Linked DNA regions of Mus musculus: regions 2, 3, 4, 5 and 6 are each reported to be linked to region 1. Evidence: microRNA targets listed by miRTarBase, many of them from high-throughput screens and not tested one by one. Region 1 holds a microRNA gene; each other region holds the end of a gene's coding sequence.

The links. Region 1 holds the annotated microRNA mmu-miR-3102-5p (GUGAGUGGCCAGGGUGGGGCUG, at 3,457-3,478, opposite strand). A microRNA usually pairs through its seed, bases 2 to 8, with sites in the 3' UTR of a target mRNA and lowers its output. Matches are read on the target gene's strand: a 7mer-m8 pairs with bases 2 to 8, a 7mer-A1 pairs with bases 2 to 7 and ends in A, and an 8mer does both.
Region 2: miRTarBase lists Eogt as a target of mmu-miR-3102-5p. The part of its 3' UTR that is shown has no 7-base or 8-base seed match.
Region 3: the mRNA of B4galnt2 is a reported target of mmu-miR-3102-5p. Seed matches in the 3' UTR shown: 7mer-m8 at 1,857-1,863.
Region 4: miRTarBase lists Wars2 as a target of mmu-miR-3102-5p. Seed matches in the 3' UTR shown: 7mer-A1 at 1,017-1,023.
Region 5: the mRNA of Rfk is a reported target of mmu-miR-3102-5p. The part of its 3' UTR that is shown has no 7-base or 8-base seed match.
Region 6: the mRNA of Usp2 is a reported target of mmu-miR-3102-5p. The part of its 3' UTR that is shown has no 7-base or 8-base seed match.

What each region holds. Positions count from the first base shown.
Region 1 is chr7:100,878,932-100,884,004 of GRCm38, forward strand. It overlaps Mir3102 (microRNA 3102), which reads right to left and starts at 3,478; the gene lies at 3,375-3,478. Arhgef17 (Rho guanine nucleotide exchange factor (GEF) 17) reads right to left here. Exons shown (of 21, transcript NM_001081116.1): 4 at 4,837-4,953; 5 at 4,539-4,631; 6 at 4,185-4,361; 7 at 3,842-3,892; 8 at 3,479-3,588; 9 at 3,289-3,374; 10 at 2,762-2,880; 11 at 2,248-2,461; 12 at 1,670-1,743; 13 at 1,002-1,201; 14 at 521-825; 15 at 1-123.
Region 2 is chr6:97,107,673-97,112,745 of GRCm38, reverse strand. It overlaps Eogt (EGF domain-specific O-linked N-acetylglucosamine (GlcNAc) transferase), which reads left to right. Exons shown (of 18, transcript NM_175313.5): 17 at 1-65; 18 at 540-2,722. The coding sequence ends at 686. Among named protein-coding and RNA genes, the nearest start is that of Eogt, 39 kb to the left of the region's middle.
Region 3 is chr11:95,861,418-95,866,490 of GRCm38, reverse strand. B4galnt2 (beta-1,4-N-acetyl-galactosaminyl transferase 2) reads left to right here. Exons shown (of 11, transcript NM_008081.3): 11 at 215-2,932. The coding sequence ends at 420. Among named protein-coding and RNA genes, the nearest start is that of n-TQttg6, 4.7 kb to the right of the region's middle.
Region 4 is chr3:99,215,911-99,220,983 of GRCm38, forward strand. Wars2 (tryptophanyl tRNA synthetase 2 (mitochondrial)) reads left to right here. Exons shown (of 6, transcript NM_027462.4): 6 at 549-4,293. The coding sequence ends at 997. Among named protein-coding and RNA genes, the nearest start is that of Gm38468, 18 kb to the right of the region's middle.
Region 5 is chr19:17,398,975-17,404,047 of GRCm38, reverse strand. It overlaps Rfk (riboflavin kinase), which reads right to left. Exons shown (of 4, transcript NM_019437.3): 4 at 2,699-4,575. The coding sequence ends at 4,445. Among named protein-coding and RNA genes, the nearest start is that of Rfk, 7.5 kb to the right of the region's middle.
Region 6 is chr9:44,093,117-44,098,189 of GRCm38, reverse strand. Usp2 (ubiquitin specific peptidase 2) reads right to left here. Exons shown (of 13, transcript NM_198092.2): 12 at 4,943-5,063; 13 at 2,563-4,416. The coding sequence ends at 4,329. It overlaps Gm38444 (a long non-coding RNA gene), which reads left to right. Exons shown (of 2, transcript XR_379336.2): 2 at 1,997-2,378. Among named protein-coding and RNA genes, the nearest start is that of Gm38444, 3.5 kb to the left of the region's middle.

The DNA.
Region 1 (5,073 bases):
GGCTGGTGCCACAGGGACCACCTGGCCCAAAGGAGCCAGAGAGTGACAGGAAGCCAGGCTCTTGCTCTTCCTCAGAGCTGGTCGTCTCTGCAGTGGCTTCCTTGGAGCTTGGGGTCTCTTCATCTGAAGGGACAAAGATCTCTGTCCCTATTCCCCTCCACCGGGCAGAGATCCGACATCTTTCTAGGCCTCAGTGTCCCTCCTGGACACATCGCTCCTACCCCTGGTCCCCGTATCTGCTAAGGCCTTTCCCCTGCTCACTCTCAGCACTCACTACAGGTTCCCAGTCCTTGCCTGGCTGTCTTAAGTCCAGCCACATCTAGATGGAGGGACTAGCCACTCTACCCAATACCCATCTTCCTTAACTGTACTCGAAGGTCCCCAGGACTCCGATGTGTCTGAGTCTTCATATTCCCATCCCCCACTTGGTAGAAGCTAACACCTAGTGAACCGACTCCAGCCTTTGCCTCCTCTGGTGTCCCCTCACTTGCTGTCCTCTCAATCCCCACCCCACACTCACTTCCAAAGCTGGAGGAAATGGTAGATTGGCTGGCTTGGCTCTGTAGAGTCCCGGAGGGGCTGGGTGAAGATTCGTCGTCAGAGTCGCTGTCAAAGGGCACCAACTCGGGCTGGGGGTCACCCTTAGCAGGGCCTGGCTCCATCTCCAGGCCCGATCCTGAGATGGAAATGTGCAGGCAAGGCTGAGGCCCTGGCTCAGCCAGCGTCGTCGCTGCCTCCTCCTCAGCTGTGGCCTCAACATCTAGCTCTGGCCCAGTGGATTCCAGTGTGGTCTCTGGGGGGTTTCTCAAGGGCTCTGGCTGCTCTCTAGAGACAAAGGGAAAAAGAACAAGGGATGCCACTAGGAGGCGCCCGAGAGAGCACCCCGTCCGACCCCGCCCACGGACAGCCCACCTCCCAGCCCCGCCCAACGCCACCGGGTCAACATTCAATGTACTGGGCCAAAGGCTAGTGGCATTGTAGGTTCGCCACCAGAGCCTTACCGCGGGCAGCGTGGTTGCAGGCCTGGCACCGCTCCGATACAGAGAATGCGGGCAGAACAAACAGCGATGCAGGCCTCCACATCTGGTTCCGCCCTCAAGCTTAGCAGGCACACCTGACCTACGTAGCCATCACTGTTGCACACCCAGACCTCTGGCGCCGGCTCTGGGCAGCTGCTGAAGGTGGGGGCAGCACACGAAAACTGTGGGAAACCCCAGTGGACAGGGAAAGATGAATGACAGAATCCTGTCAGGACCGACCCCGGCAGAACAGAGGGGCGGCAGGTTTGCATCCATCTCTGTACCATGCTACACATCAGTCAAATGCACCATGCCCGATAGAAAAGTCGCCCAAACCTGTATGTACACATACATGTACTCCCAATAGGACCATGAGTGTATGCGTTTAATTAATATGTGACTCTGGTACTACTGGTTAGATATTAAAACTCATATAGGTGTATGAACTAGACTTCAAATCTACAGCCTGTGCACATATGCACATGCCATACACATTACACATGTAATGTGCATGTGTATATACTCAAACACGGGGAATAATCACAATGTTTAAAATACATATGTGAGATGGTACACAGCACAAAACCTCATACACATGTATGTAGCTTTGAGTAGACACGTGTCTACATGGCCCACACGCACACACACACCTGCATGCCACTGCGAGTCTTCATGATAGGGATGGCCTTCAGGAACTCAGGGTCTAGACAGCTTTTACTGGATGCTGTAGTAGAGGAGACAGGGCAAAAGGAGAGAACCCCTGCTTAGCACCCACCTTACAGTGGCTCTGGTCCCTCCCCATTCCAGTCTCCCTAGGGAGGGCCGGGTACCAGCTCAGCTAGAATGAGAGGTCATGGATTACTCCGTTTGTGTCTGGCCTCAGTTTTCCTTTCTGTACAATGAGTAGCCCTGGATCTCTAAGCTGTAGACTTAATAATAACTTTCCAGGACTTAGCTGAGTCTATACTGAGGAAGAGGAAGGTCTTGGTGGTTCAGGCGTATGCTGGGGTCCCTGTCCCCAAACGACTCTGTCCAGGAGTTCCTTCCCCCCCAGGAAGAAGCTGGGAGCCAGAGCAAATGTCCAGCCTGCTGCTTCACTGTGGAAGTCTCAGGCCACCTTCCCTATCGGCCGCTGGAGGACAGGAGGGCAGTTCAGAGAGTCCTGGCTTCTACAGTCAGGACTGCACAGGGACTGTGAGAGAAGACACCAACATGAACTCTGGCTCACCCAGCTTCCTCTTGGCCTCATCAAAGGCCTGCTCAAAGCCCAGGCGGGCATCCGGGTGGGGAAACTCAAAGATGTAGGAGTCGGTGCCCTCGGGCCGGGTGGCGCACAGCTCCAGCTTGGTGGGCGGGAAGGCCAGGGAGCAGCATAGCGCCTGCTTTTCTGACAGGTCCCGGTGCATGGCGGCCGAGAGATCCCTCAGTGCATCGTCTAGACTCTGTGGGAAAAGAACCCAGGCCTCAGGCCAAGGTGTCACCACATGGGCACCTGCACCGAGGGGACCGTGGAAGGCAGCCTCCTCCTGCCACAGACAGGGATGGGCCTTTCTCCCCCTCAGAGGTCTCCTCCCTCAGACCCCGGACCTGTCACTTCCCTTAAGTGGGAGCAAGACTATAATTTTCCCCTTCAGATAAGTGACAGGACCAACTGCTCCCTCAGGCAAAAGCCAAGACTGTCTGTCCCTCAGGCAAGGTCAGGGGAAGTCCCAGCCAACACTGCCTTAGCTCAGGGCACAGACCTGGTGGGGGAAGCCGAGGCTCTCGGAGAGCTTGCTCATTTGGCCCAGGGTGGCCAGGTCCTCATCCAGGCGGCTGATGGCTTTTTGGATGGTCTCCCGATTGGTGGCTTGAGACGCCCCTGGCGAGGACAGAGGAAAGCCATGAACACATCAAACAAGGTCAAGCTTGGACAGACACACTTCCCTTAGCGCACAGCCTTCAGCTGAGCACGGGATTGGTCTGGCAAATGGGAGCACTTCCAGACCCAAGCTCTCAGAAACAAGGTCAACAGGTAGCTCTCAGAAAAAAAAAACAGGCCCGGGAGGAGAGGTCTGGTTTAGAGTCACAGGGCACAGAACGGCCAACTCTTGGAGAACTTGCTAGGGCACTAAGAGGATGATTTGCATGGAAACTAACCCGGTTCTTCAAAACCAATCTCTCATATGGGATGAAAGATGAGTCACAAGAGCAGACAAACCAACAGACAGGCAGGCAGACTCAGGGGAAAGCCACCAGCAGAACCCCTGACAGACTCAGCCAGCCTCACCCTTGATGATGTCTGTGTCTTCCAGTGGCAGCTTCCACAGCATCTTGTATTTGCTGGCTGTATCAATGACGCTGGCTGCTGTGTACCTGTGGGTAGCCAATGGGGTGCTCTGGCTGGGGCAGGGAGTAGAGCCCACAATAGATCAATGGCTCTCCTGCCTGCACCACCCAGCCCCACCCTGGCCACTCACAGGCTCATGGAGCTGCGCCTCAGCGAGCCCGACTTTCGTTTCAGGGTGGTACAGACAATGAGGTCTGTGAACAGGAAGAGGGATCGGTCCTTCTTGCCTCCAATTGCCTTCTGTAGGGTCCAAAGTGGCATTCAGGCTCAGTGTGCACAGTCTAGAGGCCGACCTACATTACCCTAGTTCCCCAGGAACAGCAAATCCAAGGGAGGGGTGAGGGCTCTCCCCCACTTATGTGGAATCGGGATTCATGCAGGGCTCCCATTGTGTGGTGCTTGGGGAGCAGGAACCAGAGGGCAGCAGGCGCCAGAGAGTGAACTTGGGTGGGTTGAAGGTACTTGGGGGAACAGCCAATGGGAGAACCCTTACCACTTCAATAACCATCTCCTGCCTCAGGAACCGCCGCAGGGGGGCCTGGAGCTGGTGGGTAGGAGAGAACTAGTTATTAGTCTATTAACCCTGCAGTGATCGGTTGACCACTCTATGAACGAGGTCAGCCAGAGCGACATCCTGTCCTCGCTTGCATCACTGGGCTGCCAGACAGGGACACAAGGTCAGACAGAGGAGGAGGAGGAGGAGGACACAGAAGGGTGGGGCACTGTGGTCACAGAAGCAAGCTGACCACAGACCTGGACGTGGATGGCCACAATCCGGGTGACAGATGAAGACACAGACAGGGACAAGTTGGGGCACGGCAGGGTGGGGCACGTACATCCTCCATGCCCTCGATGTGGGCTTCGATCTCCTGAAGCACGCGGGCATGCCGCTCGGCCTCCTCAGCGCTCCGCACACCCTTGTTGATGCGCTCAGCCACCTGCTTGATGTTGCGCTGAGCATCGAGCAGCAGTGGGTGGTCTGGATGGTCTTCCGGTGTGTGCTTCAGAAGGTCCTGGGGCGGGAATGGAGACCTGTTTAGCTGCCCTGAGGTATTGAACTGACTGCTGGAGCATGAGAGACCATGGTATAGGCATCAAGGAGGACTTTCTTTCCTGCCTGGAGTCTGAGAACAGACATACTCCTCCCCCCGACCCCCAGGGCCTCCCTGTCCAGCCAGGCCCGTGGTTACCTTCACCAGAAGCTCATAGCGTGGGATTCTCTGCACAGGCTTGATCATGAGGTCGGACAGCGCCTGCTTTTCCTTGTTCTCACGCATGCTTTGCTGAAACCGAAGGCAGAGTGGAGGGAGTTCTCACATGAGGACTGACACGGCAGGAAGAGACACGCTCCTAGCCAAGTCCCTCCAGGTGAGCCCAAAGGCAGAGGCTGACACACTTGCAAGCACCACAATGTTTTTGGTCAAGAGCTCCTGGGATGCCCAGAGCTAGCCTGACATGTTAGCTTCACCCCTACCCCAGTCCACATACCTCCAAGAACTTGAGAAAGGCTGGCCTGGCCTCCTTAGCTACACGCACAGCATCCTTTGCATTGAGGAAGTTATCAATATAGGCCGAATAGATGTTCACCAAGACGTCTTTGGAAAACTGTGGGTGAGGAAGCAGGTTAGGCAGGCTCAGGTGTCCCTCACCCACTTCACCCTGTCCTGGCTTCTGTCTATTTAACTTGAAATGGTCAGGCAGGTCTTCTCTGTCTTTCTCAAAATT
Region 2 (5,073 bases), not on the chromosome of region 1:
CCAGGCTCAGAGGCATCCACTACATCACCTGGCGGAAGCCCAGCAAAGTATTTCCTCAGGATAAGGTAACATTCACCAAATGGTTTGGAGTCCAGTTATTAAAATGCAAGCCATCACTGAGCCTCTGTTCGTCTCTTGAATACTAATATTTTTTATTTGCAAGTTAGAGAAAAATCTCAATGTTGTTAAAACAGCTTACATCAGTTTACATACAGCAGCCATCAGCAAACAGTAGCTCTAATGGTACAGATCTGGCCTACGAATTGTTTTTGTAAATAAAGTTTTATTGGGTACCGCCACATTTGCCTGCATATTGTCTGGGCTTGATTATGCATCTCCTTGGCAGGGCATCTATGACTGAGAGCAGATGGTTGGCAGAGCTGAAACTATCATTGGGAGCTCTGTGGGAAAAGCTTGCCAGCCCATGTTGTACGGCATAAGTTGAAACAGTTGCGTTAGCCAAAGGAAAATGATTTTACGTCTATAGAAAGACACACCCTTCGGTGACTCCGGGATTTTGTTCTGGTTTGTTTCTGCAGGGTCACCATCCAACTCTGGGAGAACACCCGAAGTTTACCAACTACTCTTTTGATGTAGAAGAATTCATGTACCTTGTCCTTCAGGCTGCAGAGCATGTACTGCAGCACCCACAGTGGCCATTTAAGAAGAAACATGATGAGCTATAGAAGTGTTGAGGTTGTTTCCAAGAGTGTTGACACCCTCTCACAGCCATAGACTCACAATCAGAGGAGCAGAACAGCCTGTCATATCCTACTGTAAGAGGAAACATGACGTTTTACTTCTGAATATAGCTCAGGCTGACCTTGAACTAGTGATCCTCTTGCCTGAGCCAACTGAGTGCTCACCTTACAGGTGTGCCCCACCATGCCTGTCTACAGAGTTACTTTTTGTATATGAAAGCACACCTCCAGGAGATGCTAAGTCTTCCATGTGTTTATTGTGTCTTTGCTATTTATCAAAGGTATTTTTGCACTGAAAAAGGTTACTTTTATAGTTCAAAGGTGGGCAGATGCCCATTGGTGTGGCAGAGCTCTCCTGTGGGGATGCAAAGTTGTCAACATCGGTGGCTTCAGACTTGATATATGTGTTTGTTAACTGTAATGTGATCTTGATTCCAGAGTGTCATGGCTTCATCTATTTGGATAAACTCATCTATTTGGATAAACTCAGAACTGTTGTTATTTGCCATTGTATGTTCATAAATATGGTTGTAGGGTCTGGGCACATGGCTTAGTGTAGAATGCTGGCCTTGCATGTATGGGCCTCTGGGTTTAATCCCTAGCAACACCACACACACACACACACACACACACACACACACACACACACGTCTAAGTCTGTGATTCTCAGGACCAAACTATAGGACTACGTTATAGACCAGTAATTAGTCAACTCCAGATTCCGTGCATCAAGAGCCTGACAAAGATCATGCTGTTGTATTTATTAATTTTGTTTCTATATCTCATTTCAATCATGTTCTCCCCAAATGTAATGGCAGTGTTGATAAGAGCCTGTCAGAACATTCTGTAGTACCATCTCCACTGACGCTTCAGCCGTGAAGACCCTTCATGCTGACTTGGCATGAAGTCTTAGTTTCCATCAGGCCAGTGTTTGTGAGCACACACGGCTGTGTGTATCTACCTCTGGCAGAATGGAAGTAACCCTAGTCTCTGTAAAACACTGCCAAGTAGCCACATGAAGAGAAGACACTTTCCCTGTTTATTTGTTTTTTGATTTTTAAAATAAGGCCATTAAAAACACGGTAGACCTGTGAATTATCCAATCAAAACAAAAGCCCCAAGAAAGTGGCACTGAGCAAACAGGATGCCCAGCAGCAGGCTTCCCCTGGACTGCCTTTGTTTCTTACTGCTAAGCACATAGCTCAACAGTCAGAAACCATGGGTTTGTTCTATTGTACAGTGTGATGCTTGTGTCTTATTAACATCTGCGGCATCTCATTTAGAAGCTACTTTTAATTTTTTTACAATGCACTTAGCAAATCGCAGCCAAGGACTTCATTTTTTAAATTTTAGAGAAGCGACCTACAAAATAAAATATTGGTGACTAACAGCTCCTCGGAGGTTTGCTCTCTTTTCCTTTCAGGAATTGTTAAAAGAGTTGTAGACTTTATTTATTAAAATACCTTTCAAGGAAATAGTGGCCCTCTATAGGCAGGACTTCCCTTTGGGTCAAAAAAATTCTTTGGAAAACATTGTAACATGAGGAATTGTTAAATGACAGGTTTGCTGCTGTTCCGGGTGCAGGATATTAGGTAGGCAGGGGAAGAAGGGGCTGTCCCACAGGAAGGGGAGGGAGTGGAAGGATCATGTTGCCCCGGACATCGAGGACAAACATCTGAGACTGTGTCTGGAAAACCTTCCTTTTACCTCATTTCAAGCTGCACAGGGACCTATGTGTTCACAGACTACCGAGGATTCCAGAAACTGAGGACACTTTCATACTGAAACCGTATTTGAATATTTTGCAATTAGAATATACTTTATATAAAGACAGTCATTTAAAATTTTAATTAATGGGATTAACTTTTTTATCAGACTTTTGGTGGGAGCAGAAGATCTGCAGATTGTTGTAAAATCTAAAATGTAGATATGGCCCTTTTTTATTAAGTCTGTAAGGAGATGCATTTCACTGTACATTTTGGGTGTAGCTTTGGAATAAAGTTTTCTATATTTCATTTACATATCTGAACATCTTCAGGATTTTCTGTGTTTGAATGTCACATTCCTGCTTTAAAAATAATCTGGTGGCTTGCGCATAATTAAAAAAAATTAGCTCACTGATGAAGGATTCAGTGTAATCAAAAATTATACCTCACATTTATTTAGTAGTTGTATTATCTGATGCTTCCACAAATGTGGCCCTGCACAAACTTCACCAAGATAATAGGACAATGGCTTTCGTGAGAAAGTCAGGGGCTGGAGAGATAGCCCAGTGGTTAAAGCACAGGATGCTCTTCCAGAGGATTCAGGTTTGACTCCTTGCACCCACAGAGCAGCTCACAACTATCTGGAATTCCAATTCCAGGGGGTCCGACGTCCTCACACAGACATACATACAAACAAAACACTAATGCACATACAACAAAAATAAAACATTAGAAGCGTGGTGGTGGTGGTGAATGCTTTTGATCCCAGCACTTAGGAGGCTGAAGCAGGAAACTCACTGTGAGTTTGAGGCCAGCCTGGTCTACAGAGTGAGTTCCAGGACTGCCAAGGCTAAAGTAAATGAGACACCTTTAAGTGATGCCCTGAAGGTTTCAGGCCTTGCAATCCAACACAGATTCTTTGATTGCTCCTGCAATCAATGCGGAGCCAGCTGCTGCTATGTACCAGTTACTCTCAGTGGCCTCTGGGAAGACAGCTTAGTTTCAGGGAACTTAGGTTTTGGTAGTAAAGATGGGCACTGAGCAACATGGATATGGGAAAACACAGTGTTCCAGACCCTGGTACTGCCGAGGAGAAAGCCAGGGTAAGGAAAGGGTGTGGGGTCTAGATGTCAGTGGAGACCTGCAGGCTTAAGTATAGGGTTCTCATGGAGGAGGTGACAGTTGAGTCTAGAAGGCTACAAGGAGTGAGGGATGGAGGTAGGAAGATGGTCTGACAAAGAGCATACCCAAACTGGAGAAGGGCAAATGCGAAAGTCTCCAGGCAGAGCCTATGTGTTGAGTTTGAGGACCAACCATTGTAGCTGATATGATAGAGGAGAGACAGAAGTTCCATAAAGGATAATGCCACATGTAGACAGCAAAGCTCTTGTCTTTTCATTCTGATGAGGCATAGATCACCGAATGGATCTATACAAAGGAGTAAGGACCTGGCTTTCCCTTGGACAGTGTAACTCATGTTGTTAGACTGAGAGCAGGTAGCAGACAGATGTCTTAGGCTGAGTTCTTGGGATAACAGATTCTAGAATGAAGGGTTGCAAGCTGATGGTTTATTGTGGGAGGATTCTCATAATCATAGTTGAAGAAGCACGAGGTCCAAAGGGGGCAGGGGAAAGCATCACCTGGAGTTTAGTAGAGAGACATCTTTAGGGGCACTGTGGTACGTACGATCTTTCAGAGAAGTCCCAATGGATATGGGCGGTACAACCATCCATGTTGGAGCCATAGAAGGGGGAATAGGGAACCTTGACCAGGGCAACTCTCCAGATGGGGGCAGTTTTCAGGAGAACAGGCTGCTAGAATCCACCAGCATCCCCTACAACCTGGAGGCTGAGAGCCTGTCTGCAGGGAGAAGGCAAGACACAGTGCACAATATCCACAGCCAGGAGAGGGCAGTGCTTGGGCTGGTTCCATTCTCCCATCAGTTTCTGGCCAACTAGAAGTTTGAGTTTAGAGTCTTCATTGCATGCAGATTTTGTCTCTCTCTTCCCTTCCCTTCCTTTCCTTCCTTTTCTTTCTTCTCTTTTTTCCTTCCTTCCTTCCTTCCTTCCTTCCTTCCTTCCTTCCTTCCTTCCTCTCTCTCTCTCTCTCTCTCTCTCTCTCTCTCTCTCTCTCTCTCTTTCTTATTTTTAAAAAGTAACACAGATAACACCATGAACTTCAAGCTATAGATTGTTAAGGGTAAGGACAGTTCTTATTTTAGAGAGTAATTATTTCAAGGTTGGTGGCCATACTTGGGTTCTGTTGAGTATTATCAGTTAACTCCCCATTCCTACAATATTTCTAAAGTCAAAAAGATAATTCTCCTATAAGTTTAAACAGAGAGGGTAAGAAATGTACCCAAAGCCACCCAGCAGGCCACAGAGAGGTGGATGGAGGGGGTTCTTTGTGAAGAGATTTTACTAGGGATGCTTAAGAGTAGGTATGGAGGGAGGGAGGGAGGGGAAAGTTAATGGAGACCACAGAGCACAGGGAAAGATGTTCTTAGGTTTCTTACAATTACCAAGCAGTTTTCTTTGAACACAGGGAAAATAGAAAAAATGTTTTTCAACTGGAAGCCTGTCTGTCAGCTCAGGCGTGATTGCTGCAGTTTAGTCACTTTCCTCATTACGGCGTCAAGATACCCTACAAAGGCAACTTAAGGAAGG
Region 3 (5,073 bases), not on the chromosome of region 1:
TAGGGACTGCCCTCTCCCTTCACCCCTTCCTCTCCAGAACCCACAGTCCCATTTAGTGGAACCCAGCGGACTTGACGCCCACTCTCCAATCTGAGAAACTGAGGTTATCTGTTTCTTTCCTTTCAGCTCCAGGGCTCCCTGTCCGGCGTGGGTGGGGAACCACAGCTGTCTGTCTTTAGCTTCCTTTTGTCTCCCGTTCCTCTTCTCTTTGCAGAGTTCTTTATTGATGGGCTGGGGAGACTGTTGGTGGGCTCTTGCCCGGGTGTAATTATAAACCACCAAGTAAGAACACCACCAAAGGATCCAAAGCTGGCTGCCTTGGAGAAGACTTATGACAAATACCGGGCCAACACCAATTCTGTGATCCAATTCAAGGTTGCACTCCAGTACTTCAAGAACCATCTCTACTGCTCCACTTAAAAAGTACCAAGACCAGGAATCGCAATAAACAGATTAGCGGCGGGCAACAAAAAAAATAGTAGGATTGGACATTGGAGGGTACCAAAAGCAGACTCCTAACAAGGGGAACAGGGAACAAAGAAGCTGGAAGCTGGAGCTAGGGTAGGACCCTGAAGTCGGCTCAGGACCCCCAAGACCAAATTCTCAGCACAGAGATTTATCTGCCCTAGAGAGAGAAAGGGCAGGGAATGAGACAAAGACAAGGGCTGGAAGGTGGTGGGGCACACCTTTAATCACAGCACTCCGGGGGCAGAAGCAGGTGGATCTCTGCGCATTTTGAGGACAGCCTGGTCTACAGAGAGAGTTCCAGGACAGCCAGGGCTACAGAGAAACTCTTATCTTAAAAAGGCAATAAGTTGATCTAAAATAATGTTATTTAAAGCCAGATGATAAGGTTGGTGTAGTGTTGTGATCCCAAAGCCCAGTAACTGAAGTAGGAGGATTGAGTTCAAGGCCAGCCTGGGCTATGTAACAGCCCATCTTTAAATGAGTGACTAGGGGGCTGGAGAGAGCTCAGTGCTTAAGAGCGATTAGGACAGAGGACCTAGATTGGCTCCCAGGACCCACATGATGAGTCACAACTTCATACCTGCAGTTTCAGGGAATTGGAAGCATCTGCTTACCTCCAAAGGCTCCTGCATATGAGTGGTGCATACATACACGCAGGCACACACATATGCACACAAAATACGCTTTAAAATAAATGAAGGAATGAGTGAATGGCTAAATATTAACCAAATAATTCCGATTTTATTTTGTCAAGACTGCCTGGCCTAGCACTCACTGTGTAAGACTGACCTCACACTCATGGCAATCCTCCTGTCTCCACTTCCCAGTGCTGAGGTATGAGGTGTGAACCACAATTTCTGGCTTGGATTTTTAAAAAGAATTTACACACACACACATACATACACACACACTGTAGCTGTCTTCAGACACATCAGAAAGGGCATCAGATCCCATTACAGATGGTTGTGAGCCACCATGTGGTTGCTGGGAATTGAACTCAGAACCTCTGGAAAAGCAGTCAGTGCTCTTAACTGATAAGCCATCTCTCTAGTCTCTAGCTTGATTTTTAAACTTTGACTTTTAAATATACTTATTCATTATAATTTTTTTTCTTTTTGAGACAGGGTTTCTCTGTGTAGCCCTGGCTGTCCTGGAACTCACTCTGTAGACCAGGCTGGCCTCGAACTCAGAAATCCGCCTGCCTCTGCCTCCCGAGGGCTGGGATTAAAGGCATGCACCACCATGCCCGGCTTATATTTTGATTTTAATGGGATATTAAGATGGATGTTAAGATTGTGAGCTTTCAACCCTGTCTCGGAAAACCAAAAAAAAAAAAAAAAAGAAAGAAAAGATTGTGAGCCTTCATGTGGTTGTTGGGGATAGAATCTCCACTCACTCCAGTCAACCCTGTTCTCAGTCCCTGCTAACTCCGGCCCAAAGATTTATTTATTATTATAATTATTATACGTAAGTACACTGTAGCTGACTTCAGACACACTAGAAGAGTGTCAGATCTCATTACCGGTAGTTGAGTCACCATGTAGTTGCGGGGACTTGAACTCAGGATCTTTGGAAGAGCAGTCCATCCTCTTACCCTCTGAGCCATCTCGCCAGCCCATTTCAACACTCTGAACATACTTACACTTTATTTTTTACTTCCTGAGGTAAATATTGCTCTGAGCTAGACCATAGAAAGCCAAACACCAGTGGGTAAGGAGGCGAGGAATGACATGCCAGCTAGTTGTGGTGTGGGCCTTTAATCCCAGCCTTGAATTCAGAGATCCTCTAGCCAGGGCTAGGCAGTGAGCTCTGTTTTGTTTTGTTTTGTTCTGTTTTCAGAACAAAACCAAAATCAGGGGCTGAGGAAATGGCTCAAAAGGTGAAGTGTTTGTTACCCAAGCATGAGGACTTGAGTTCAGATTCCCAGAAGTAAGGCATAGCTGCCAGTCTGTAACCCTGGGCATTCTCACAGCAAATGTTAACATCCTCCATTTTGACTGGGTTGTCGTTAGCATGCTCAAACACAGTCTTTTCTCTACTTCAAGATCTAGAACCATCTCTCCAGAAGAGAGAGAGAGAGACAGAGAGTGAGTTAGTTTCCTATGATCCAGTAACACCTCTTCCCCAGGAACACAGGATGTTCTAAAAGGACATCCATTCAACTCAAAGGGTTCAGGGACTCCCTGAAACCCACCAGACAGACTAGGCCCCCTCTTTTCCAAGTATATTAGCTGTGAAGACTGCTGAGAGGCACTCTCAGACAAGTTGAGCTGCCTGAAACAGACATTCTCTAACCTGTTGAGCTGTCTGCAAGTTGTACAGAGGGCTTCAAGTTTACAGCTTTTGTGACATGGTGAGCTTTCATGGTGCCGCTGTCTTTCGAGTCATTTGTGATCCTGCGGTAACCCCTCACCCATACTTCTGTCTGTAACCCCAATAAAACTCATCAGTCTGCTATACTGGACTCGGGTGGTGTGCTTATTTTGATCCGTCATTGGTTCCTGATTGGAGTGAGTACATGTTTGTCCCCATCTTCCCAAGGTTAGTGTCACATGGCAGGGTGATATTAAGAGTCTCTGAGCACAAAACTGGAACATTTCTTCCTTTGGGTCTTCCCGTGTCCCAAAGCAAGTGGCTCAGTGACCAAGTCTGTTAAAACATTAGCCACATTTAAAGACTATGAAGGCCCAGGGCCCACTCTTGAGACTGCCAGCCACATCAAGTGGAGTGAGAGGGCAGGTTAAAAAACAAAAAACAGAAACACAACGAACCCCCTTCCTGCTAATTCATACTGCAGTAAGCAAAGACAGGGAAGCAATCTTTTTTTTTTTTTTTTTTTTTGGTTTTTCCAGACAGGGTTTCTCTGTATAGCCCTGGCTGTCCTGGAACTCACTTTGTAGACCAGGCTGGCCTCGAACTCAAAAATCCACCTGCCTCTGCCTCCCAAGTGCTGGAATTAAAGGCGTGCACCACCATGCCCGGCTGGAAGCAATCTTTTAATGCCACCAGAGGAACACAAGTAGGGTTACAGTGAGTGTGCCAGTTCGATTAAGTTAAGAAAGAAGGTGTGGGGAATGCCTGGGACAAACCTGAGCATGGAGAAGTGGGGACACAAAGGCAGTCACTGTCACCTACACACTCGCTGTAGGGATATAATCCTCTTGAGAACCCATACCAGGCCAGTTGTGGTGACAATGTCTTCGATCTCTGGTCTACAGAGCCAGTTGTGGGGCAGGAGAGCTACAGAGCTATATAGTGAACCCTGGAAAGTGGACCGGGAGTGGGGGGGGGGGGCGGGGAGGGGAGGGGGAAATTATGCCAATGTGTCCTGTGCAGTCATGGGACCCTTTCGGAGGGTGGGGCAGGTCTCTATGTAGCCCTAGCTCTCCTGGAACTCACAGAGATGAGCCTGCTTGTGCCCACAGAGTGCTGGAATTAAAGCCATGTGCTACCACGCCCAGCTCACATGGCCTTTGTAAGAATGAAATAAGCGGGAAAATAAATGAGGTCTACAAATGCCTAGTGTTCAAGCACAGCCTTGAGGTACTGGGTTTCAGACCCAGGACAAGAGGCTGAGGTTTTGGTATTTTACCAAAGCAGACCTGGCCTCCAGGTTCTCCCAGCATCCCTCAGTCCCTACTTGAACTCTGCAGCCCAGAGGCTGGGCTTCTCCTCAGAGGTTCTTCACTATATAATCCAGACATTTTGTTTTGGTCTGGGCATCCTGTACCCCCAGCCCCCTCTGCATTTCTCTTCCCCCCTCCGCTCTGTCTCCTTGTCTGCACGGTGACCTCCCTGGTCTCATTTCTTGGGACTGGTGAACCTGCCTAAGAGCTGCCTCCAATAAACCTGCCTTTATACTTTAACTTGGCATGAGCTGGCTCATTTCATCGTCGGAGATAACCTATCAGGAATCTCAATGTCAGATGGGGTTAATTCTCAAAATGGAAACTCTGTAGTGTTCCTTCTGATAATATGCAAGAGCTACAAACTACTTTTCTTTTCTTCTTACTTTTTTGTTTGTTTGTTTGTTTTTGGAGACAGGGTTTCCCTGTACGATAATAGCCCAGCCCTGGCTGATCTGAAACTTATTCTGTAGACTGGACTCAAACTCGCCTGCCTCTGCCTCCAGAGTGTTCAGATTAAAGGCGTGCACACCGCCCGCCATGCACACCCACACTAGAAAATCTCTTATCCATTCACTCAGGGACAAACTGTCAGACTCTTACCAAATGAGCGCTTGGACTTGGACTAACTGCATTCGTGACTGCATGCACAGAAGAGGAATTTAGCAGAATAGTGGACAGCTCATAGCACTAGAAGGGGGTAGACAAAGCAAGCTCAGGGAAGTGGCCAAGAATCCAGGGACTGAGGCAACCAGGGGCCCAACAAGGCCAGTTTGCTTGGCATGTCACCTGAGAGGACAGTGGGCATGGCCTGGCTGCCTTACTGCACTGAGGTCAATGGTGTCGAAGACACCACCAGAACTGGATCCAGTTTTAAAATCTCTGGTTCCTGGGTGTCAGTTGTTGGACTGAGTTCAACTGGCCAAGCTAAAGATAGTCAGGCCGACGCACACAAACACACACGCTTACACACACACAC
Region 4 (5,073 bases), not on the chromosome of region 1:
AAGACGTGGAAGGATGGCCACAGATGGTTAAAGCTGCAGCACTGCTACAGCAAGGGAGGAGGTGGACACGGGAGCATGGCCAGCCGCACAGTGGCAGGAAGAACAAGAGATCCCCTACCTCAAAACCAGTTCCCTAAAGCTGTTCTCTAGCCACAAACTTGCCATGACACAAGCATATATTTACACACACAAAAATTAAAAATCAAGTGTGCACAGAGCCAGAGAGATGGCAGAGAATAAAGGCACTTGCTTTGCAAGGCTTGTGACCTGAGCTGCAACTTTGTACCCCTCAAGTGTGCATAGCATAGGCAGTATAACCGACATCGTTTCTTTTGTGTCAGTCATACACTGGATGAATCATTGCCAATACATGCTATGGATGGCACATTAGCAAGTCCTGTTTCTGATGTCTTTACTTCCATGTTTGATAAATTGCACAAATTCTTCCAGATGAAGACATGCTATTGTGCAATCAGTATCTCTGGCGGGGTTGGTGTCTTCCAGGACTAGACTGTAACGTTCTCGGTGACTTGCCTTGTTTTCACTAGCATCCATGAAGAAAGTGAAATCTCTTCGAGACCCTTCTTCCAAGATGTCAAAATCGGACCCTGACAAACTCGCCACTGTTCGAATAACAGACAGCCCAGAGGAGATTGTACAGAAATTCCGCAAGGCTGTGACAGACTTCACGTCAGAGGTCACCTACGAGCCGGACAGCAGAGCTGGTGTTTCCAACATGGTGGCGATCCACGCGGCCGTGTCGGGCCTCTCGGTGGAGGAGGTGGTGCGCAGTAGCGCAGGCTTGGACACTGCACGCTACAAGCTGCTAGTGGCCGATGCTGTGATTGAGAAATTTGCTCCAATCAGGAAGGAGATTGAGAAATTGAAAATGGATAAGGACCACTTAAGAAAGGTTTTACTTGTTGGATCTGCAAAAGCCAAAGAATTGGCCTCTCCTGTGTTCGAGGAGGTGAAGAAGTTGGTGGGGATTCTGTAGCAAGGTCAGCCAGTCACTGCACTCAAGTCAAGGCAGCTTTCCTCCCACAGATTTTAGCCTGTCCAAATTCAATTGAGTGTGATGATCAGCTGCATTTGATGACTGCTGTCAATTGAGCAACGTTCCAATCCCTGAGGCAGGCACAGCTCTTCCACTCCAGTTCAATGACACACAGTTTTTTGGTCTGAAGTATTCCCGAAAACGTGAACAATTACTGAGCCATGGCGTGTGCTTGCTTGTGCAGTATTTACTGTGCAGGTGCACTTTGTCTGTGTTGTGCAGACAGGTCCTATGCTGCAATCCTGAATCCAGTGGGTATTTGCAGTTCATAAAGAGAGGTTCATTCTTGCAGCTCATGTGATGATGATGTGATGATGTTTATCCTCATGTATTGGAATGACTTGACTTGTGCTAGCAAGGTGGCTCGGGCTCAAGGTACCTGCTGCCAAGCTGAATAGCTGGAGCTCAATCCACAGGGCCAGCATGGTGGAAGGAGAAACTGACTGGCAGGTTGTCCTCTGACCTCCGCTTGTCTGCCATGGTATGAGTACACACACACACACACATGCGCGCCTAAGTAAAAATACAATAACCTACTTGTTTCTTAAAAGGCACACACTGACTTACTTATTTCAGCAAATGTCTGTACTTAAGTGATCCAGGAGGTCATTGGAGAGCATTATATTGCTTCAGTTCCATCTATTTATTATACAGGGCCTGTGTTCCTGGTTGTATTCATAATAAGCACTTCTATTTTTACATTCATCTCAGTTTAGTCTCACCAAACCCTACCTCTGTGGAACACATAGGAACTGAGGGGTAGAACATGGAATTAGCTGTACAGTGTCACTAAGTAAATAAGAAGCAAGTCCAAGAGTGAAGGCCTAGCTCCCCTGCTTCCAAGACTGGTGCTTTTTAAGACTTCTCCCAAAGCTCTGAGGGCCAAAGTTTTGGACCTCTAAACATTCCAGTATTCAGTTTGGATACTGAAAAGATAAAGGCTGAAATACTGATTTTTGTTTATGTGAACTCAGCTAATGGTTGTGTATTTTAAATCTGGATCCAGCCACCTCTGGTCACACTTACCTTTCAAAACCCCAAAAATGGGTCCCATGGCCTCACTTCCAAATTCATGCTGGAGATGCCTGCTTGTCTCGGCCAGATTCCAGTGGGAGCGAAGTCTAAAGCATCTGACGTTTCCAGTGAAGGGAAGCTTCCCGTCTCAGCCTGCCTCAGGCTCTGTGAAATCACAGAGTATAGCTCTGCACGTCCATGTTCACAGCTGAAACGAATGGCAGTCCTGGCTTACATCCCAAGGCCTGTATCAAGATTGATTTTGCAGGGCCAGCAAGATGGCTCAGCAGAAAAGGGCTCCTTTTGTGAAGCAAGCCTGACTATGTGAGTTCAATCCCTGAGATCCATGTGATAAATAAAGGAGAGAACCAACTCCTCAACGTTGTACTGTGACTTACACACACACACACACACACACACACACACACACACACCACAATGAAATGCACAGGACTACCCACACACAAAAATAAATAAATGTTTACTTTTAATGTTAAGGTTGAGTTCACCTCGATTGTCACATAGAATTGGAAGTAGGAGACACTGTATCCCAGAGTCCAGATTAAAACACCAACTAGGTTCGGGAAAAGGGTACATTTTACTTTTGGGGGGGGTGCATGTTGTTTTCTTAATTCATTTATTTATTAGTGTATGTGTTTGAATGGGTGAGATCATGCTAAGGTGTGTCTGTCACGGTTGGAGGATGATTAGTGGGGTCCGGTTCTCTCCTTCCACCACGTAGGTTCTGGGACTCGAGCTCAGGTCATCAGGCACACTTTCCCGTTGGGCCAGTTAGTTTTATCTTTTGCACCTTAGTGGGAGATGTCTGCAGTCTGAGAGCATCACTGAGTGTATTTCTTTTAAAGATCTTTTTTACTTTCCTTTCGTTTTATCTGTTTGCATTTGTGTGTGTATGTGTGCGCGCGCGCACGTGCGCATGCATGCATGCCACAAAACATGTGTGATGTCAGAGGACAGTGCAAAAGCTGGCTTTCTTCCACCAGGTAGATTCCAGGGTTCAAACTCAGGCTGTCCGGCTTAGCAGCAGGCACCCCTGCCTACTGAGGCAGCCCACCAGTACCTTTTCACCTTCCTTTTAAAGAAATCTATTAGGAATACTGGGAATTGTATCTACCAGGCCAATTGCCTGTTTAGCTCTGTGGTCTCTACCTCCTAGCAATGCTTCTGTCTAGCAAGAACTAAAGGCAATAGGAAAAGATCTCCAAAAAAAAAGAAAAAGTGTAAAAGAGAGGGGGAGGGAACAAAAAACACAAAAACACTAGAACAGGATAACGTCTAAGGAACAGGGTCAGTGCATTCTGTTATGTAAGACTCTTACTGCAGAAAATCTAAATTTGCCATATAATTAAGATTCTTGCTCAATCAATGTATTAAAGTTCCCCAGGGAAACAAGCCCAATAGGACACATAGAAACAAAAGAGAGTGGGCTGAAGAGATGGCTCAGGGGTTAAGAGCATTAGCTGCTCTTCCAGTGGTCATGAGTTCAATTCCTAGCAACCACATGGTGGCTCACAACCATCTGTAATGGAATCTGATGCCCTCTTCTGGTGTGTCTGAAGAGAGCAACAGTATACTCACATACATAAAATAAATAAATAAATGGTAAGTTCTGAGAGACAGAGAGACAGAGAGGAGAGGAAGTTAGTTTACCAGGGGCTGGAGCATGGCTCAGTGACCAATGGCATGAAGTTTTTTTCCCAGCACTCATGTTGGGCAGCCCACAACTGCCTGCAAATGCCAGCACTAAGGGGTCAGATATCTCTGGCTTTAGCATGCACCTGTATTCACATAACTAAAAATTACACACTTAAAATAATAACAATTTGCCATATGGATTGGGTCACACTATTACAAGGACTGGGAGAAAACATAGCATGCTGTCTTTAACCTGGAGACTCAGGACAGCAGCGTAATCCAGACCAGACTTAAAGGCTAACTTGTCAGTGGTGCATAGTCAGTTCAAGGAATTCAGAGCCAAGAGACTGGACAGGGACTCCTGTGCAAGTCCCGGAGTCTGGGAACCATAAACTATGACATTCCAAGATGGGTCAGCTCAAGGAAAGAACAAACTGGCCTTTCCCACATTTTTGAGGCGGCCCCTTGATGGATTGGTTAGGACCTGCTAACATTGACAAGGATAAGTCTTCATTTACTGACTCAGTGTCCAATCTTTTCTAGAAATACCCTCAGACAACCCCCCTGAAAAAAAGTAAAATTAAAAAAGAAAAGGTTTCACTAGCTATCTGTTACACCCTGTCGCCTCAGAAGCTGAGAGCAAAGGCTGCATACAGCCTAGTGTGCCTCTTCACCCCTTCCCATTGTTGTTTACAGGCCCAGCAGGTTGTTTTTTTCTTGAGACAGGGGCTCTACATAACCCAGGCTGTACTGGTCTACTGTGTAGACCAGGTTAGCTTTGAACTGATAGAGCTCCTCTGCCTTCTGGATGCTGAGATTAATGGAGTGTACCACCATGCTGGCCCAAGAATAAATAAATGTGTGTGTGTGTGTGTGTGTGTGTGTGTGTGTGTGTGTAGAGTTAGAAATACAAACAACTGACAACTATGGTTGACTTCAAAAGGAAAATTTTATTGTTATTTCCTATTAGCTCTATAGAGAATGGAAATGTAAAAATATTTCAAATGATAATGTTATAGCAGTCAGGCAGCATGGTGCCTGTAACTGTGCCTCCTGACAAATCCCACTGCACACTACCTTGTCCAACTAGACCCTCTCCACAGTGAGTAGGTTCATCTTCATTGGTTTATCTTTTTGATATATGATAGTTATCAGAGTATTACCAGAAAATGTGCTAGAGACTTCTAATAAAGTGTGATTCCCCCACCATGATTCCTGCTCCCCCCAAAAAAACACCCTTCCAGATGCACACCACAAGTGTGGTTATCACAAAGCAACTCCCAGCACTATCAGTTCTGATGTCTATTGGGTACAGTGCTAAATGTCTGCAACCATCACCTACATAA
Region 5 (5,073 bases), not on the chromosome of region 1:
AAATAAAGCTGTTGGTATAAAAATGGGAGATGTGGCCTGCAGAGGAAGAAGCAAGCTGCCTAATGAAACCCAGGTAGAAGTTTTCACAGTTCAGCCGCACAGGGCCACGCACCTGCAATCCCAGCACTTGGGGAGTTTTAGGTAGCAGTTTAAACTCAAGGCCCTGTTTCTTAAAAGTTACTACCCAGGCGAGCAAGATGGTCAAGTGTTACAAAGGCAACTGCTGCCAAGCTTGACAATTTGCATTCAATCCCAGGAACCACTTGATAAGACGAGAACTCCCAAGGTTATCCTCTGACACACCATGGTGTACACACACACACACACAACATACACACATACAAATGAACACAAAATAAAAAACAAACAAACAAAACAGGAAACAAGCCAACCAAGCTAAGCTGAGTATGGTGGGACACACCTTTAATCCTAGAATTTGGGAAGCAGAGGCAGGTGGATCTCTGAATTCAAGGTCAGCAAGGGCTATACACAAATTAGACCTCATGCTAAGATATACTAAATGTTCTTGCCAGAAACAAGTAATAAGGGTTCAAGAGGTTGGGGTGGAGCTGTTCAGACTGCTTGCCTAGCACGCATGTGACTTGAGGTTTGAGCAGTAGCATGATAGTATTTACTGCCAGCCAGGCATGACAGAGCACTCATAATCCCAACACTTGGGAGGCCAAGGCACAATGACATCAGTGAATTCCCAAAGGGCCTAGACTACACACATAACGAATTGCTGTGTCAAAAACCAAAGCAAAGCAATGGACAGAAAGCCAACTCGAAGGTTCATCCTGGTTCCCAGCTTTCTGAACACTATACGCTGGTGACTTTGTTCTTATTTTGGGTTTGGTGCTGGGGATTGCAACCAGGGCCTCACACATACTAAGTATAGCCACTACCCCTTAACTACATACCTAGATCAGCCCCTCTTCCTCTATTTAAAGATAATCTTACTGTGCTGAGGCAGGCTGGTCTCCTCAGACTTCAGTGCTGAAGTGCTCTTGCTTCAGCCTCACTAACGCTAGAGCCCCAGGAGCATGCTACCATACCTGGTTTTCCACAGCCTTTACATAGCGTGGCCACGCTCATTTCTCTATACATTCAGTTCTTTCTTTCTCTTCTTTCTTTCTTTCTTTCTTTCTTTCTTTCTTTCTTTCTTTCTTTCTTTCTTTCTTTTCTTTCCTTCTTTCTTTTTCTTTCTCTATCTCTTTCTTTCTTTCAAAACACATGCTTTATTTATATATTATGGTTTAATACTTTATGCTTATGGGATTTCTTTTTTTATTAGATATTTTCTTCATTTACATTTCAAATGTTATCCCGAAAGTCCCCTATACCCTCCCGCGCCCTGCTCCCCAATCCACCCACTCCTGCTTCCTGGCCATGGCATTCCCTGTACTGGGACATATGATCTTCGCAAGACCAAGGGCCTCTCCTCCCATTGATGGCCGACTAGGCCATCCTCTGCTACACATGCAACTAGAGACACAGCTCTGGGGGATACTGATTAGTTCATATTGTTGTTCCTCTTATAGGGTTGCAGACCCCATTAGCTCCTTGGCTACTTTCTCGAGCTCCTTCATTAGGGACCCTGTGCTCCATCCAATAGATGACTGAGAGCATCCACTTCTGTATTTGCCAGTCACTGGCATAGCCTCACAAGAGAGCTATGTCAGGTTCCTGTCAGCAAAATCTTGTTGCCATATGCAATAGTGTCGGAGTTTGGTGGTTGTATATGGGATAGATCCCCATGTGGGTCAGTCTCTGGATGGTCCTTCCTTCCATCTCAGCTCTGAACTTTGTCTCTGTAACTTCCATGGAGTTACAGAGACATGTAACTCTCAGGAATGCAGTCCTTTCAAGAACTCACTCTCTGCTGTCTGTAGAAAACTCTCCATCCAGTGTTTCTGACTTATGATCACATCCTCTTTGGCAGATCTGATTTGTTTTCTAGCTCAGTCTCTAACAATGAAACTGATTTTTCTCTATCAGTCTCACTTCTGTCCCAAGTACAAGGGGGAACTGGAAGACAACAGCACTGGGAAAGGAAGATGGTCCTTGTAAGTTTCAAGTCACTGGTTCTCACACCTCCCCATCACCTAAGTGCCCTACCTGCAAGCTGCTAAGTCATCTCAGAGTTCATTCAGATGAGTGCTGAAATGCACTTCTTTGTAACAAATGGAAAGAATGCCCTGCAGCAATGTGTGGGGTTGTGGCACATCCATGGTTACAAAACAATCTTGAGGATTATACAGGAGTTAGACTTGTCTGGCTCCTTTAGCTCCCAATAGGAACCTTTATTCTTAAAGAGTTGACTTTTTGAGTAATGATATCCTCTGAATCCTTTCCATGTAAAGTCACCTTGCTACAGGAATTTTAAAGGGTGGGTGGGTGGTGGTGGTGGTGGTGTGTGTGTCTTGGCCAGGCTTGATGCACACTTTTAATCCCAGCATTCAGAAGGAAGACACACATGGATCTCTGTACTTTCAAGGATAGCCAGATATAGAGACCTTGTAAGGTCTTTTAAAAGGAGGAAAGACCCCTGAGATGGGGGGACTGGGAGGGGGAGGGTCCTTGAAAATAAAGCTCTTAGTCACATGAGCACCCTTACTTGATAGGTCTACTCAGGATTGTAAATACAGGTGTATAGTAACAAACAGCCAGTATACCCCAAACAGATACAGGATTCAGGTTGACAGGGGAAGAGGGAAAAAATAAGTCAAATTTTATTCCAATGCCTGCAAACATTCAGACTAATCAACGTGGTACCGTAATTTCTTTTAATACATCAATAATAGTTTTTGAATTCTAGAGAATTAACTAAGCCCTAAATCACACATCATGTAATTCCAAAATAACGACTAACAAAATGAGATAACATTAGCCATGAACATTGATATACTAACAAGCTATTCTTACTTTAAAAAAAAAAAGCCACAGATCTATTTTGTACTGTGCATATTTGTTTTTAACTTTCCTTCATAAATCCATTGATAATTAAGGTTTCCTTTAAATACAGGATTTCCAACATCAAAAATTCTATTCTGAAGGCTAGGGATGTTGCTCAGCCATAGAACACATTCACAGGGCTGAGTGAGTCCCATCCCTCCCCACACCACTACTTCTACACACATGCAGAGACCAAGTCTCTGGGTGTCTGTGTGTTGTTAAATTACCTTTCTATTTTCACGTGCATGCTCCCACTTAGGCAGTGCCTCTGCCCCAGCAAACCTGTTGCCATTCAACAAATGATGATTCAATGCCCCGGTGAGGCTGAAGCAATCGAGCATCCAATGTCAACCTTCTGCCAACATAAACAACTCAGGCCACCAAGAGGGAAAGGGGAGGAACCAGGGGAAAACCAAGAGGGAAACCAGGAGATATAGAGATATGCAACTGGAACTTATCCGGTTCTGAAGCTACAAGGACTTTTAAATTATGTTTAAGTGCCTGGTCATAGAGAACTGTACTTACTTTGAAAGCACAGGACCACACTTTAAAAAAAAAAAAAAAGGCAGGGCAGGGTTGGGTAGGAACTGGCTATGTTCATTTCAATTCCAAGCAAGTCTATAAATGCAGCTTGTTTTATTTTTCTTTACTTGAACCTGACCACCATTTAGTTTTGAGCAGAATGGCACACACACAAGTAATCTCTGGGCGACATGGGAAGAAAATAAACCAAAGTCACAAAAATGTTAAAGAGCAAAACCACCTAATCTTCAAAAAGGCAACATATAGACATCCATTGTATGGCTTCAAAAAGTAAAGGGGGCGGGAGCCTAGCTCAGTGGTCACACTTGCCTGGCGTGTAAGGCACTGGGTTGGATCCTCAGTACTTTGAAGAAAAGCAAAAGCCCTGATGAGGGGCAGGCGATCAAGGCAACTTCAACCTGAAGTAACTGCACACAGAGCATTGGGACACTACCAGGAAGTGACCTCAGGGGGAGTCGTGAGTGACTCAAGGAAGTTTGCAGGATTGTAAAAATATATCAATGCACAAAATGAGAAAAGTAACTCTAATTTTTCCTTCATGGGTAAGCTCTGTGTGTGTGTGTGTGTGTGTGTGTGTGTGTGGTGCACTTCCTGAAAAGCCTCTGTTCAGCACAGGCTGGCTGGGCTCACCAGTGCCAGCACACTCAGTCACAAGAACTATGGTCAGTCCTCATTTTCCTCAGGAACTTGCTTTTCCACCCACACTCACAGACTTTATTTTCAGTACAAGCTTTCTAGTGCTACATTTTAATCAACATATTACATCTAAAGTCTTGATTTCTGAATGAGTCTCTTAGTACTGTGCAACATGATGGAGTGAACTGCTGGAGACCACTTGACAGCTACAGGAAAACGCTTGATTTAAAATATGATCAAGATGAGAGTGTATCAGAAGCACTGTGACACTATGCGTGACACTAGTGGTAGGCAGGTAAGGGACTTTTCATTAGTGGCCATTCATAATTTTGCCTTTAGAAACTTGGAAGAAATTATCATCTTTGAGTTTCAAATGTTCGGGTAAATCCAGTTGCTTTTTAGCTTCTTCAATATCACCTTGAATTGCAGAAATAAGTGACTCTGGAAAAAAAGAAAAAAAGAAACTTCTAATAATCCATGTTACTATTCCTTTGCTCAGCCCCTCCTAAAAACACTGACTAAGCACCCTAGCCACAGCCCTGGGAAAGGACAGAGATTCAGTCAATGTTGGAACCGTCTTTTTCTCCAGGGAAAGCCAGTGTTACATAAAGTGTTCTCTTGTAAAGAGACCCTTCACCTCCCAGGGTTTAATGTCACACTATACCAACAGGCACCTGAAGACACCAGAAGCAGATCTCTAATTACTGCTTGCAGCACATACTGCCCAACCACCCTTGCAGGGTCAGATGCCAGGTGCCACCACTCACCACTAAGTGCTATGACTTGAGTGTCCCCTGGAACTCAGGTACTAGAAACTAAGTCCTCAAGGTTGAAGGTATTTGGGAATGGGAACTTTGGGAAGTGGGTCAGGAGGACAGAATGGATTCCTGAGTACAGAAAATGGCTGTGATACAAGAGTGAGTTCTCTTGGCCCTACCC
Region 6 (5,073 bases), not on the chromosome of region 1:
TGCATAATTAGGTAGTGATATTATCTAATAAAAGATGTATGCGTCTCTGTGTATGAGTGGACATGCAGGTGTGAGTGTGAAAGTCACAGGTCAACTTCCAGAAACCAGATCTCTCCACTGTGGGGACTGAACTCAAGTCCATTTGTGTAGTGCATGCTTTTAGGCATCCACTGTGCGCCTCTCTAGCCATAACTTCTTTCTTGTTAGGTATTTGGTCACTGTGTGCCACACTTTTTCTCATGTAGGCCTCATGATGAGTTGGTGTTCTCACCATCAGCTTAGAGATGAGGATACTGGGCACAGAGAGGGCTATGGTTGCTGCCCACTTCCTCCTGCCCTCTGCAACTGACACAGAGTTGTTGTATTCATGAATGTTGAAGGGTGGGGACCCTTGGAAGTGTCCAGCTCAAACAGACCTAGCTCAAACAGCTAGCTCATGCTGGCTTTGTTGCTGGGCACGTGTGCATGTTGCATATTACATGGCTGTTCAGTTTGCGTCCTAATGGAGTAGGAGAATTCTGCCAAGAGTCCTGCCAAATGCTGTCACCAATTCAACCAGAATTGTTTCAACCAGATGGAGCAAGAACTAGGTGAGATCTGTCCTGTCTCAGGCATGGCCAGGTGGTGCGGCCTTTGACAGGTCTCGAACCCTCACTGTCAATAAGACAGTAGGGATGAGGCGGCTTCTAAAGGCTCAAGTCTAAACATTCAAAAAATATGAATTGGGTTACTTAATTCTGAGGCTGGAAAGATAGCTAGCACGGTACCAAATCCCCAGCACAAGGTCTGTCCCTGCATTTTTAATTTTATTTTTTATGTGCATCGGTGTTCTGCCTGCATGTCTGTGTGAGGGTGTCAGATCTTGGAGTTACAGAGAGTTGTAAGGTCTATGTGGGTACTGGGAATTGAACTCAGGACCTCAGGAAGAGCAGTCAGTGTTGTAAACCATTGAGCCATCTCTCTAGCTGGTGCGATTGCTACTGCTTTGGTAAGGGAACTTGCTATAAAACCCATGACTTGAATTTCATTCCTGAAAATGGAGGAAAGAGAGAATTGACTCTCAAAAGTTCCATATGTATGTATGTCATGGTGTCCACATGCTGTCCTAGAATAAATGTAGAAAACCAACAAAACAAACTATAAACTGGGCCAGGGAAGTATGGGTGTGTAAGTCCCAATTCAAATGTGTGTTTGGAGGACGTGAGCAGAGAGAGCCCTTTGGTTTAAACGAGGCCTTGAAGGCCTACCCAGAGGGAGCTCTTGTTCAAGGTCAACTGCAAAGGCAGCACCTTCTCTCAGTGAGGGCCTGCAGGCCTGCAGGAACACCAGCTAAGAACAGGCGGAATAATCCAAGTTGCTAGGAGGCGACAGATCACAAAGAAACGCCTGCCTGCGACAGACCTGCTTGTGTTTGGGGTTTGGTGCAGTGCTAGGGACTGTTACCATGGGGATGAGATGGCGCCACAGGCTAGGCAGAGAACGGAAAGCTGCTAGCAAGGGCAAAGGCTTGACTCCAGTCCCTAATTCCTTAGTCTGTCCTCTGGAGAACGGAATGCACAGGGTGGCTTCTACCATCACTGAAAAGACGAGGCACCTTTAAGTTGGCAGCGACCCAGTTTCTATTTAGGAGAGAGTCTTGTTTATATGTGTCTGCCTGGGAGAAGCCACCAGCTTTGAGATAGCTCATCCATGGTCCTGCCATTCCTAGGGTGTATGGGGGCAGGGTGGGGAGGGGGAGTCCAAGTCCCTCAGAGAGGAGTCACGAGGTTTGTTTAAATCTTTCTTCTTATGCTACAAGTGTGGTTTGCTGGGTGGAGCTCCAGCCTAGCATACCAGAGGCCCTGGGTTCAATCCCAAGTACCAACTAAAATGGAGTCTCAGTCCCTACAGAAGCTCATCCGAGGCCTTAGTCAGCTTGAGGGCCACCTGTACTATATGAGATCTTGTCTAGAATAATAAAAGTTATCTTACTTTTTCACTCCCATGAAATTCCCAGGTTAGAAAGCTGTCTTCCTTCGTGAGGTTGGCCAACCAGGAGCACACACAGGCCCCAAGTGACACAGGTATTTGTGCCACAACAGAAGATGGTTAGAGAAGACTTTGCTGTTCCAATGCCTACAGTGCTACAGCCAGCTAGGCAGAGAAACCACCAGCTGTGTCCGTTTCCCCACTGATGGCCCGGGTACCACCAGCTGTGTCCGTTTCCCCACTGATGGCCCGGGTACCACCAGATGTGTCCGTTTCCCCAGGTGTTCACACTGTGCCCTTGGCAGGTTCTGTCTGGAAGATGCTGCTGGGGTCTTTGGAAGTGTGATGTGCCTCATCTCTAAACATCTTGGCTAAAAGAATAAAACACGTGGACAAACGCAACCTGCGAATCCAGATGTGGCATATGGCATCTGAAATATGTACTATTTAAGGAACAAAAAATAATTGAGAAGTTTAACAAGTGGGTAAGCTAGGATGCAGCACTTATGGCAAAAGCAGTGAACTGTGTGGTCCTCACTTTGCTGGGAGCATCCCGGATACAAGCCCCTCCCAAATCAAGACCGTCACACCAGCTTCCTTCTCAAAGCTACTATTTATTCTGTACAAGGCTCCACTGTACACTAGACATTCTACTCTTGCTTACATAGTAAACAAGTGTACACCAGCCCTTGGGCTCATGTTCACAGGTCTTCCCTAGAGAAGGGTATCAGGCCAGGTAAACTCAGGGTGTCTTTTCTTGGGTGCCCTGTCCTGGGACACTCAAGCACTCGAGGTTCTGAGGGCATAAGCCAGGCCCACCTGTGGGGGGTGCAAAATGCACTGTGCGAAATGCCTTAGTGCTGAATAGCTTGGCTCTTGGGACAGCATGGAGTATTTTTTTTTTTTTTTTTGTCTAACGTCAGGGCAAAGAATCATACAAGCTAACCCCAGCCATCCAGGCTCACACTCCCAGGACAGGACCAAAGACTGATGCCAAGATGGGGTAAGGGGTGGTGTGGGTGTCCCTGAGAAGCTCAGTCCAGAGGGCCTTTGTCTAAGAGACTCTGGGAAAGGGACAGGTGGCAGGAAGCTTGGGGGATAAGGGCATCAAAAAGAGAATAAATTAAAGGGAGGGGGGAGTTGAGGGGCAAGGAGCCTGTGCTGTCCTTCAAACAGCTGGGGAGACCGGGGTGGGTGAGAGGGTGGTAGGAAGAGCTTGATACACTATCTTAAGAATCACCATTTACCCACTTCCCTCTTTTACTGCTGTGCACAACAAGCCAGGGGTTCAGGGCAGGACCCCGCAACCCCAAGTGGCTTTCAACATGGCACGGGGATAAAGGGAAGCAGCTGAGGGAGATATCTCAGGAAGGGGAAGTTATCCCCTGGTCCCCAAATGCTATAAGGCACAATTCTTGGAGGCAACTAGATTCCATTCAAAATATTAAAGGGGAAAAGAAAAAGCAACTTCAAAGCAGAGTAACTTTAGATCCCAGGTCTACTGTGACGATGCTTGGGCCCAGCCAACACTCACCCAGCACACGGGGACTAGCATTAGGAAGGCTGTGTTTGGAGAAGAAAAAAACAAAAGAAAAAACCGAACAACAAAAAAAAAAAGAAAACAGGGAGCCAGCCCAATGTCCCAGCTGTGAAGAGAGGTGTGAAGGACCACATCTCCAGTCGGAACACGTTCGTTACAGTTAATTAAAAAAAAAAAATTGGGTTTTTGAGAACCCAAACCAGCTTTTTTTTTTTCAAAGATGTCACCCTCATCTGTACCCCTGGACTTAGCAGCGTTAAGAGGGCTCTTGGCTCATGGGCGTTTCCTCTCTGGACTGGTGAGCAGGTCCAGGCAGGACGGCCTCCCGCAGGCTCCTCCCTAGCTCCATCCAGCAGCGATGCTCCCAGCAGGCTCCAGATGGCGCTGTCCTCCCAGCAGGTGTGGCACTGGGGGCAGCAGGTGGGCTGACGGTCCTCTCCCACAGACCGCTCTTGTTTTTATTACACACAGGAAAAAAACCACAAGCTTAAAAATGCAAACGAGAGAAGCCAGCCGAGGAGCCGAGGATGCTGCTGACTGTCTCCGCATCAGTCCGTCTTCCTGCCAGGCCGTGCGTGTGCATGCGTGGCGCAGGGGCACATGGCTCCTCACTCCAGACCCTGACCAGGCTGTATCAACTTCTGCTCGGCAGCTTTATTTTACTTTATTTTTCTCTCACTTGTCAGGATTTTGTTGGTTTTTTTGTTTTTTGTTTTTTTTTTTTTGTGGTGTTTTTTTTTTTTTTTTTCTGAATTTTTTAAAAAAAACTTAGGACGTGGGGCCACCACAGGGAAGAGGGAAGGGCCGCAGCTCCTCAATGCTACATACGGGAGGGTGGACTGGCCAGTTCATAGAAGAGCAAATAGGCGTCGCTGGTGCGCACTTGGCTGGAGGACATGGGTGTGACACTGTGGAAAGATCAGGGAAAAGTCAGAGCCTGTTGAGGAAGGCCATGGGGGACACAGCAGAGAGGCTGAGCTTGAGCCAATGCCTCTAACTTCTCTATGCCAAGGTAACTTCTGCCTCTTGTCCTTTGAGAGGTGTGTTGTTAAGATTCCCATTATTTTTAAATACCATGTGTATGTGCTTATGTACGTCCATGGTGGCCGATGGCAACGAGCCCCTGTTCTCTGCAACCGCAGTGGGAACCCTTAACTGCTGAGCCACTTCTTCAGTGCCAACCCATTTTTTGAGACAGGGTCTCACATAACCAAGGCTGACTTCGAACTCACTAAGTGGCTGCAGATGACCTTGAAATCCTGACCTTCCTGCCTTCACCTCTCAGGTATTTGATTAGTGAGCCACCATACCTATCTATCTCTGACAGTCCCAGAGAGGGCAGCATACACGTGGTATGATGGTTCTGTCCATTCAAGATGGAAGCCATATGAGATGACTGCTGTCACGGAACCCTGCTGGAATTCCATCTCTCACCTGGAATCATTGAAAGTGTGCCATTCGCCTGTAACCGGACTTCGGCAGTAGGCTGTATAGTGGCCTCCCATGGTGGTTCCGGAGTGATTGGACACAGCATACAGGTTGTAAACAGCATGGTCTGAGGGGGC